2 linked regions of the Oryctolagus cuniculus genome follow. The protein of the gene in region 1 purifies or fractionates together with the protein of each later gene. This does not show direct contact. Links are inferred from orthologs where the notes say so. Each region holds a gene or a part of one and is shown on either strand. Other genes may lie near its edges. The genes, in order: GTF2H5 and CDK7.

Region 1 (4,440 bases):
AAAACCCCTGTGAGAGTCTCGACTTCCTCACCTCATTTCCCCTTTTCGAAGCACAGTGGTCTCCCCTTACTCGCAGTTTCTGTGTTTATCTGCAGTCAAATGTGGTCCAAACATAGTAAAAGGGAAACTCCAGAGACAAGCACTGTTCTTAGCAGTGTGATGAAGTCTCTCACGGCCGTGCTCGGTCCTGCTGGATGTGCTACCCGCCCCTCAGTCTTCTCAGCGACCTCGGCTGTCAGAGCACTGCTGTGCTGAGGCGCCCTGGTTTTACTCAGTAATTGTCCCAAATGCAAGAGCAGGGAGTGTGCAAATCGGGTAAAGCAGAGAGAAGCTGTAAAATGCTTTCTTCAAGTGAAGTGGTGAAAATTCTCCACTTAATAAGCACAGGGAAAAAAACAGTGTGGTGTTGCTTCGACCTATGATGAGAGTCAATCCTCCACTCATGAAATCGTGTTGGTAGAAGAAGTTCCTGTTACTTTTACTCTCCCATCTCAAACTGCAAGTTATCACCACAGTGCATCCTAAGTGCTTAGGTAAGAACGGGAAGGCATTACATTTACGGTTGGGTATCACCTGCGGTGGAAGGCATCCGCGGAGGGGCTGGAAGAGTATTCTCCAGGGAGGAGCGGGGGACAAACACACTCCAATCTGGCACCTTTCCCACCACGCCACCGAAACAGCTCTTACCAAAGATCGACTGCATCTCATCTAGTCTGTCTTCACATCATCCACCTTTCACCACTCCTGCTTACAGCCCATTCACCTCCGTGCAACATTTTCTCCCTTAGCTTCTGCACTCTTTGCCGGGTCACCTATGCCGAAACTCCAGATCTGTACTAACCATAAGGCAGCCCACAAGTCACACTCACTAGAGCAACTGAAATAGGGCCGGTCTGTGAGATATGTTGGAAAAGCACAATACACACCGGACTTTAAAGACTGTTTTTTGGGGCTGGTGCTGTGGTGTAGTGGGTAAAGCCACACCTGCAGTGCTGGCATCCCTTGTGGGTGCCAGTTTGAATCCTGACAGCTCCACTTCCGATCCAGCTCTCTGCTATGGCCTGGGGAAGCAGTGGAAGATGGTCCAAGTCCTTGGGCCCCTGCACCCAGGTGGAAGACCTGGAAGAAGCTCCTGGCTTCAGGTCGGCTCAGCTCAGGCCAATACGGTCATTTTGGGAGAGAACCAGTGGATGGAAGATCTCTCTCTTTCTGCCTCTCTGTAACTCTGCCTTTCAAATGCATTCGTTTTGTTGTTGTTGTTGTTATTTTGAAAACTCAGTACAAGCTGAAAGAATATTTTCAATATGTTGGGGTTAAATAAAATGTTCATTTTACCCATTTAATTTTACTTTCAGAAGTGGCTACTAAAAAATTCAAGATTACATATGTGGCTTGCATTCTGTTCCTATTGGAGGGTGCCGCTCGAATCTGACGGCTGTTGTCCTCGCCCCTTCCCCAGGCTGGCTCACCGTCACGGGATACATAGCAGCATCTGTGCGATGGCCATCTCAGGGGCACACAGAGGTGCGCAGGCCAGAGTTCCTTCATGGGACAGAACTACTGGTGGGTGAGCCAGCAAGTGGACAAGGAGCAAGACTGATTCTGGAGTGCAGATTTTGGAGACTGGGCAATCGCCGAGCCCTCTAGATTACACTGCTTTGCCAAATTCAACCTTGGCCGGGATGGTCTCCGGTTTCTCTGGCATGTGTGCAAAGGAGTTCAAGAAACCCTAACGGGCCCTGTCTTTCTCCTTAAAGGTCAGTTTGTAATGAAGGCAACGGAGCTCCTGCCATCTTACAGGCCTTGTAACTCTGTCACCTTCTGATGGCTGGAAGAGATTACGAGTAACCTTTCCCTCCAGGACTAGGCCGATCAATTCTGATCAAAAATCGCTGGAAATGATGCCAATTACACTAATGCAACGGAGACACTGAATTCTGTCCCCTCCCCCCCACACTCTGGAAGAAATTTAGCGACAAAACGTTTCACTTTTTGAAAGTGTAGAAAATGGAAAGACTTGATTGCATTCCGGCCTTAGAAAAGAAAACGAAAAAGGGACTTGACCTCAGAAAAGGTCAGATGAGTTTGAGTCAATACGTAAATGAGGTATCAAAACTACTAACCATTCTATGAGCACTCCTTTCAAGACGTTGACCATCTTTGTCCAGCCGGAAGGGGCAGAGGATCTCAACCAAGCTAATAAAAAAGGACAAGGTGGACATGTCATTCAACAGCATCGACCGGAACAAGGCAAGCCACTCCCCGTCAGTATAAACAGCGAAGTCTATCAGAGACGAAGCTAACACAAAGGAGACATGCAGCCATTCTGAGCTTCTCACAAAACGGAGTCTGTCCGGAGCTGTCCACCACGCACACATACACCTGCGGCCGAACCCCACAGCCGCGCCGCGCCCCGGTACTCCGGCTCCCCACCCGGGGGCTTGACAAGGCTAAGGTCCCGGAGGGCGGGGGAGAGGGGGCCGCAAGACCTACAGGGCGCCCAGCCTCTTCATTTCGGACCTGAGACAGGGCGAGGACCCTAAGCCGCCGTTCTTCCCGGACCGGACCGGACCGGGAGGTCGGGGGTGGGGGGACACAGCCACACTGCGGGCTCCCTCCCCGGGTAAACCGCGTCCCCCAGGCTCCGCGCTCCGAGCTCCAGGCGCGGCGGGCGCCCCCTGACCCCTCCAACCGCTACCCCGGGGCCCAGGGCACGGACACCCAGCGCCGCGTCAGAGCGGGGCGCACTCTGGCGCCCCAGCACCTGCAGGACAGACTTTCCGATCTTTCTCCTCCCTCTCTTTCCGGGAACGCCCGGTCTCCCACGCACCTCACCCCGCCGGCTTGCCCCGAGCTCGCCACGCACCGCAGCCCACAGACCCGGCGGCCCCCAGATGCCCCGCAGCGCGCGCGCGCGTCTGCCCTGTGACGTCATCGCGCCGGGGACGCTCTGTGGGAGGAGCGCGCCGCTGGGAGGCGGGGCGCGCGCTGGGCCGCGTGGGCGGGGCCACAGGCCGGCCGCCGCCGAGTGGAGGGCCGGGGGCAGGCCGCGCCGGGAGGGTGGGCTCTCCGGCGCCGGGATTCCCGGTGAGCGGTCGGGGGGCGGGCCGTGTCCGCGAGCCGGCAGGTAGGAGGACTGGGGGGCCGGGCTCGTGAGGGCGGACGCGGGCGGCGGCGCGTGGGAGCACGGTGACGGGGCGCCCCAGCGAGGTCGCGCGGCGTGAGGGGCTCTCTCCGGTCCTCGGGGGCCGGAGTGTCCTCTGGCGTCGGCTGCCCAGCTCGGGGGGCGCCGCGCGGGGCTGCCCGCGTGCAGCCGGGCGTGGAGCCTCGGTCACGGCGGAGGGGGAGCCCGCGGAGATCCCGCCGGTGCCGACCCGGCCCGGGAGCGCGCGCGCTCTGAGGAGGTGCGGGCGCCTTGCGTTGAGTTGCACCTGCCGGGTGAAGTTCGTGCGGATTTTTGCCCGTTCCCCGCGTGGGCTCTTGTGGTCCAGCTGCGATCCCCGAGTCTTCACGTGCCTTGCGTCCCGGGGCGCTCGTTCCTGGCGAGTGCCCTTGGCTCTCTCTGCCTTGCGCTCCGCGTGGGCGGTGTGCCGGGGATTCGGGGTGCTGGCCCGATGCCCGCGCCGGGGGACCCGTTTGTAACGTGCACTCCACCGCTCAGACGGAGCTGCTCATCCTCCGCCCGCCCCCTCCCGTTAAAAACCTGCTTTTCCTTCCCGTGTCTCTCCAAGTCACCCAGTTTTAAAATCTGCATCCGCTGGATCAGCGAGCACTGTTGTGCACCTGATAGGTGCCAAACCGTGTTCTAGACGTTTGCGGTCTATTGGTGAAGGTACAGAGGGCCGCAAAAATGTTAAGGACAAAATGCCAGGTGGTGACGCGGTAGGGATTGCATGGAGAGTGTCAGAAATGGCCTTTAGGTAGGTTTCTGAATTAAAAAAAAAAAAAAAAAAAAAAAAAAAAAACTGATACCAGCAAAATACTAGCAATTTTAATAATAGTAAAATAATCCGTAACTTCCAAGACTAAACATTATCTGGAAGTTAGTGAAACTAAAGCATTAGTTCCTTTAGGGAGAAAATGATAATGCTTTATTGAAACACATGGAAGACTTGAGTGACGGAGAGATACATCATATTCATGATCAGAAGGCTCGATACCAAATAGAAATCGGCTTTCCCCAGGGCTGTAAATTCAGTGCAATGCCAGTTAAAATCACTGTATTGGGTTCTCATGAAACCCGACATGCCAGACTTCAAAATTTATATAAAAAGGCAAAGGACCAAGAATAGCTAAGTCAATCTTGAAGAAGAAAAAAGCTGAAGTTCTTTTTTGCGAGGTATCAAAGCATAAAATAAAACCGTAATCATTAAGACAGGGTGGTGCCGGCGCCACGGCTCACTAGGCTAATCCTCCGCCTGCGGCACCGGCACACCGGGT
Region 2 (4,487 bases), on another chromosome or scaffold:
TATTTGTTCTAAATTTGCTAACATTTTTTCAGTCATAAGGTTACTAAAGTATAACTGGCTTATTAATAAGTATATCCTACTCCAAATGATAAAAATATACCCAAGATAAAAACAGATGTCCATGGTATTAGAATGGGTAAATAAGACAAAAGATTATTTGTAACCTATATTCAGAAAAAATTTCAGAGTATGAAATAAGGATACGAATATAGGAATAATTTTCACTACAGATTGTAGTTTATTATATTCTGGGAGATAAAGTCATTGTTTGGTTTACCACTTTGTGATCATGTGTGCAAATCCTGGTAATCATTAACTTCCTCAAATTTATGTCTTAAAACCTCATATATTCACCTTAAATAATTTACTTTATTAAGGCAATTTATCAAACTTTAACAGGATCATCCTATGCCAACGGTATGTATATTATGAAAATAAAACCTCACAAAGCTAAATAAATTCTCTTCCATATCTTAATGATTTCCAGAACGTGCTTAAAGAAGTCATCCTGATAGTGAGGGTGGTAGCTCATGAGCGATAGACAGTAGAAGTGTTGAGTTCATGTTTCCTTTTTTTTTGGTAAGATTTATTTATTTTACTTGAAAGTCAGAACTAGAGGGAGACACACAGAGAGAGATCCTCCATCCGATGGTCCACTCCCCAAATGGCTGCAGTGGCTGTAGCTGAGCTGATCTGAAGTCAGGACCCAGGAGCTTCATCCAGGTCTCCCACGTGAGTGCAGGGGCCCAAGCATTGGGCCATCGTCTGCTGCTTTCCCAGGCGCACTAGCAAGGAGCTGAATGGGAAGTGGAGCAGCCAGGACTTGAACCAGCATTCCTTTGGGATGCCAACACTACAGATGTCACCCTAATCCGCTGCACCAGCCGGCCCCAGAATTCTTCACCCAGCTACCTGTGGGTTACTCTTACATCTGCTGCTCCAGTTCATCTGCTTCTCTTGTAAATTCTGTGTTGTAGTCCCATGTAAATGTTCCCCAACACAAACGAGAGATAGGAATTTGGGTTGGATGCTAGCAGTCTACTCATACTAGTCTTTTGCTCTTTCTTACTTTTCTCCCAAGAAGCCCAGGGCCATTTTTTGCTTCCAGAAAAGGGATTTCAGGTAATGGAGAGCGGTTAGAGTAATACTGTGGGTGCCATTAGAAACCCTAATTCTGGAATTAAGAATCTGAGGGCTGGCAGGCGCCGCGGCTCACTAGGCTACTCCTCCGCCTAGCGGCGCCGGCACACGAGGTTCTAGTCCCGGTTGGGGCGCCGGTTCTGTCCCGGTTGCCCCTCTTCCAGGCCAGCTCTCTGCTGTGGCCAGGGAGTGCAGTGGAGGATGGCCCAAGTGCTTGGGCCCTGCACCCGTGGCGGCCATTGGAGGCAAAGGAAGACCTTTCTCTCTGCCTCTCTCTCACTGTCCACTCTGCCTGTCAAAAAAAAAAAAAAAAAAAAGAATCTGAGGGCAGTCCTTACTACAGTTCTTGCCACGAAGATCAAAATGAAAAAAATCACTTGTATAATCTGGGGGGTGAACCAGCACATGGGAGACCTCTCTCTCTACCTCTCTTTCAAATAAATCTTTAGACAAAAATGTTTATTTTGATGAAAGAATTTTTTTTTATAATTCACAAGTATAGCTAGGCAAAAGCATGTCAGTGGGAATGGCTGTCACAGGATGAGCTCCAAGGACAGTGTTGTAGACAGAATTCTGGCAAGGCTGAGTCAGGACGTCTGTTTCCATTAGGGGTTAAGCACTCACACAAGGGTATTCCAGAAAGTTCAAAGAAAAATAGTTAAAAGATGTTTATTTTGGTGCCAGCGCTGTGGCATAGCAGGTTAAAGCTGCTGCCTGCAGTGCCGGCATCCCATATGGACACTAGTTCAAGTCCTAGCTGCTCCACTTTGATCCAGCTCCCTGCTAATGTGCCTGGGAGGGCGGCAGAGGATGGCCCAAGCGCTTGGGCCCCTGCACCCATGTGGAAGACCCTAGAAGAAGCTCCTGGCTCCTGGATTTGGATCTGCTCAGCTCTGGCCCACTGGTGGCTATTTGGGGGGTGAACCAGCACATGGAAGACCTCTCTCTCTACCTCTCTAACTCTTTCAAATAAATCTTTAGACAAAAATGTTTATTTTGATGAAAAGATTTTTTTTTTAATTCTGCATAGTTTTTTTTAATGATATCCATGAAATTTTTGAAGAATCTTTGTATAATTAACCATCAGCAAATTGGTTAATTTGTGTTTCAGTTTTCCTCTCTAGTATTCTACAGTATAGGATCAAATTAGAATATTATCTGTAACCTGAGAATTTAGTGGCTGGAAACAGTAAGCCCTTATGGCTCAGTTACTGGGGCTGCAGTCATCTGAAGGCTTGGCTGCAGCTGACAGTCCCATCTCCAGGGTAGACCACTCACGTGGCAAGTGATGCTGGCTGTTGTTGGCAGGAGTTCCTCTCCGTGTAGGAAGGCTGTGCGTGTGGACTGACACGACTGACTTTCCCTGTAGTAATGATGCAGGCGTGCAGGCAGCAATGGCTGCTCCCACTTCCACCGCTGTGCCGTGTTCCACTGGTACAGAACAGCTTGTCTCATTGTGGGAGGACGACACAAGGGCATCCATAGCAGAAGGCAAGGTCGTCATGGCCATCTTTGACTAATAACAGATCTATAAACTCCGTGAGGTGCAGCAAAAGCTCAATATTTACAGACCTCATTGCCAGGGTATCAGCTAACCCATCGTCAGCAGCACGGTACAAGGTATGGAGTATCAACTTGTAGGACATGGCACACTTGAGAACCTCAAGCCTCAAAGGTAAAACTATCGTATTTAGCTCATTAGCTCTACAAGGAGGTAAAATTACCAAAGTATGTCTTTCGGAAGGAACGCTGGCAGAAGTCACACGACAGCACGCCTCTCTAGGTAGGACTTGCCCCAAGAAAAGTGGTAAATCCGGTGCACTTCCTGCAATGTACAAATCTTGCCTAGAGCCAGGTAGTGACAAAGCACCGAAAAAGAACAGTAATGGCTATCGTCAACCAAGACCTAGCTGCCGGAAATAAACTAGGTACGCGTAGTAGGTGGTTTGGCCCGGTCCTCCATCTCGTGATTGCATACTGGCGGGCAGGTATTCCGCTACAGGCGGTCTGATGCCGGAGCTAATGCTGACTTGCTGTATTACACGAACTGCACTGTTTTTGGCCTTGGCATCCTGCCATCTTCAACACGTCTCTGAAATCGGGATTTCGGCTCTCAGAAGCGTCAGATGCAATGGAGGAAACATTTCCGTGGTGCAGGCTGCTCCACTCAGATCTTGGAATCATTCTTTCCCCCTCCAACCCGTATCCAGCCTGTCCGTAAATGCTATTGGGTAGAAAGCAAGCAGAGTCATCTGGATTGTTGCACTAATTTTCTAACAGGGTCCTCTTTCTAAAAAATACTTAAAATCACTCTTCATCTGTGAAGCAGAACGGGCAAGCCCGTCTGCTGGTTCACTCCCCAGATCTCAATGGCAGCGGCCAGGCCAGAGCCACCAGCTGGAATGCAACCTCGCTGGTAGGAACTCAAGTACCCGAGCCATCTCCGCTCAGGCGAGTGGGATTCTGCCTCCCTAGGCCTGCTCCTCCCTAAGGGGAGTGCACCTGCTCCCGACTCGGCCTCAGAACGCGGCAGAGGTCGCGGGTTCTGGCGTCCACAGCAACCGTGACGCCGGAAAGCCTAGAGCAGCAACCAGCACGCGGTCACAAACTATCCGCACACGCACAGCCCTAGAAAATTCCGAACGCGGAACACATCAGGACGCCCACTCGTCCCCGACTGCGAGGACAACACCCAAATTGAAGCGATAAAACAGCAACACAGCGGCTGCCCAAAGGGCCGCACTTCCGGCATCCGCGGCGGTCACGTGACGGGCGCGACCCCGGCCCTGAGCGGCTTTGGTCCGGACGGGCTTTGCCCGGACTCTTTTAACAGCTGCTCCGCCCACCCCGGAAGTAGGGGCGGAGCCTCAAGCGTCGGAGCCCAGTGAGCGGAAGGGGCTGTTGGAGGCTTTAAGGCAGCTTTAAATTCCAGCTGTCTGGGGCGCCTGCCTCTTTTGGCTGGAGTCGGACTTCGGTTCCCGGATGGCTGTGGACGTGAAGTCTCGAGCTAAGCGTTATGAGAAACTGGACTTCCTCGGGGAGGGCCAGGTGAGGCTCTCGGGCGGGATGGAGAGCAGCGCGCGCACAGCCTTGCAGGGTTTTCCATGGACGCCCGAGGGCCTTGGCCGCTCGCTCTCCGTGGGGAGGCCGCCCGGACACAGCTGCCGCCCCGTTTTGTGCCCTGGAGGTTGGACCCCCACCCGGGAGCCCCCCGCTGCTTCCCGGCGGAGCGCGCTGGAGAGGGACGGGGCTGCCGAGCGCGGTGCAGGCCGCGGGGCCCGCGGGCTCCCCGCTGGCGCGAGCAGCAAGCGCCCGGGACTCAGTTCTCCCTGTTTCTCTTTCCAGTT

What was found.
Region 2: the proteins of GTF2H5 (region 1) and CDK7 purify together in Homo sapiens (affinity purification with mass spectrometry; 7 studies listed by BioGRID and IntAct, with this or other methods). This does not show direct contact. The link is inferred for Oryctolagus cuniculus from reciprocal best matches to the Homo sapiens genes GTF2H5 and CDK7.

What each region holds. Positions count from the first base shown.
Region 1 is NC_091436.1:9,584,831-9,589,270, forward strand, and holds the start of GTF2H5 (general transcription factor IIH subunit 5), read right to left. Parts: upstream 2,974-4,440; 5' UTR 2,831-2,973; intron 2,197-2,830; 5' UTR 2,159-2,196; coding exon 2,124-2,158; intron 1-2,123. UniProt on the Homo sapiens protein: Component of the general transcription and DNA repair factor IIH (TFIIH) core complex, which is involved in general and transcription-coupled nucleotide excision repair (NER) of damaged DNA and, when complexed to CAK, in RNA transcription by RNA polymerase II.
Region 2 is NC_091445.1:90,220,689-90,225,175, forward strand, and holds the start of CDK7 (cyclin-dependent kinase 7), read left to right. Parts: upstream 1-1,446; 5' UTR 1,447-4,122; coding exon 4,123-4,188; intron 4,189-4,485; coding exon 4,486-4,487. UniProt on the Homo sapiens protein: Serine/threonine kinase involved in cell cycle control and in RNA polymerase II-mediated RNA transcription. Cyclin-dependent kinases (CDKs) are activated by the binding to a cyclin and mediate the progression through the cell cycle.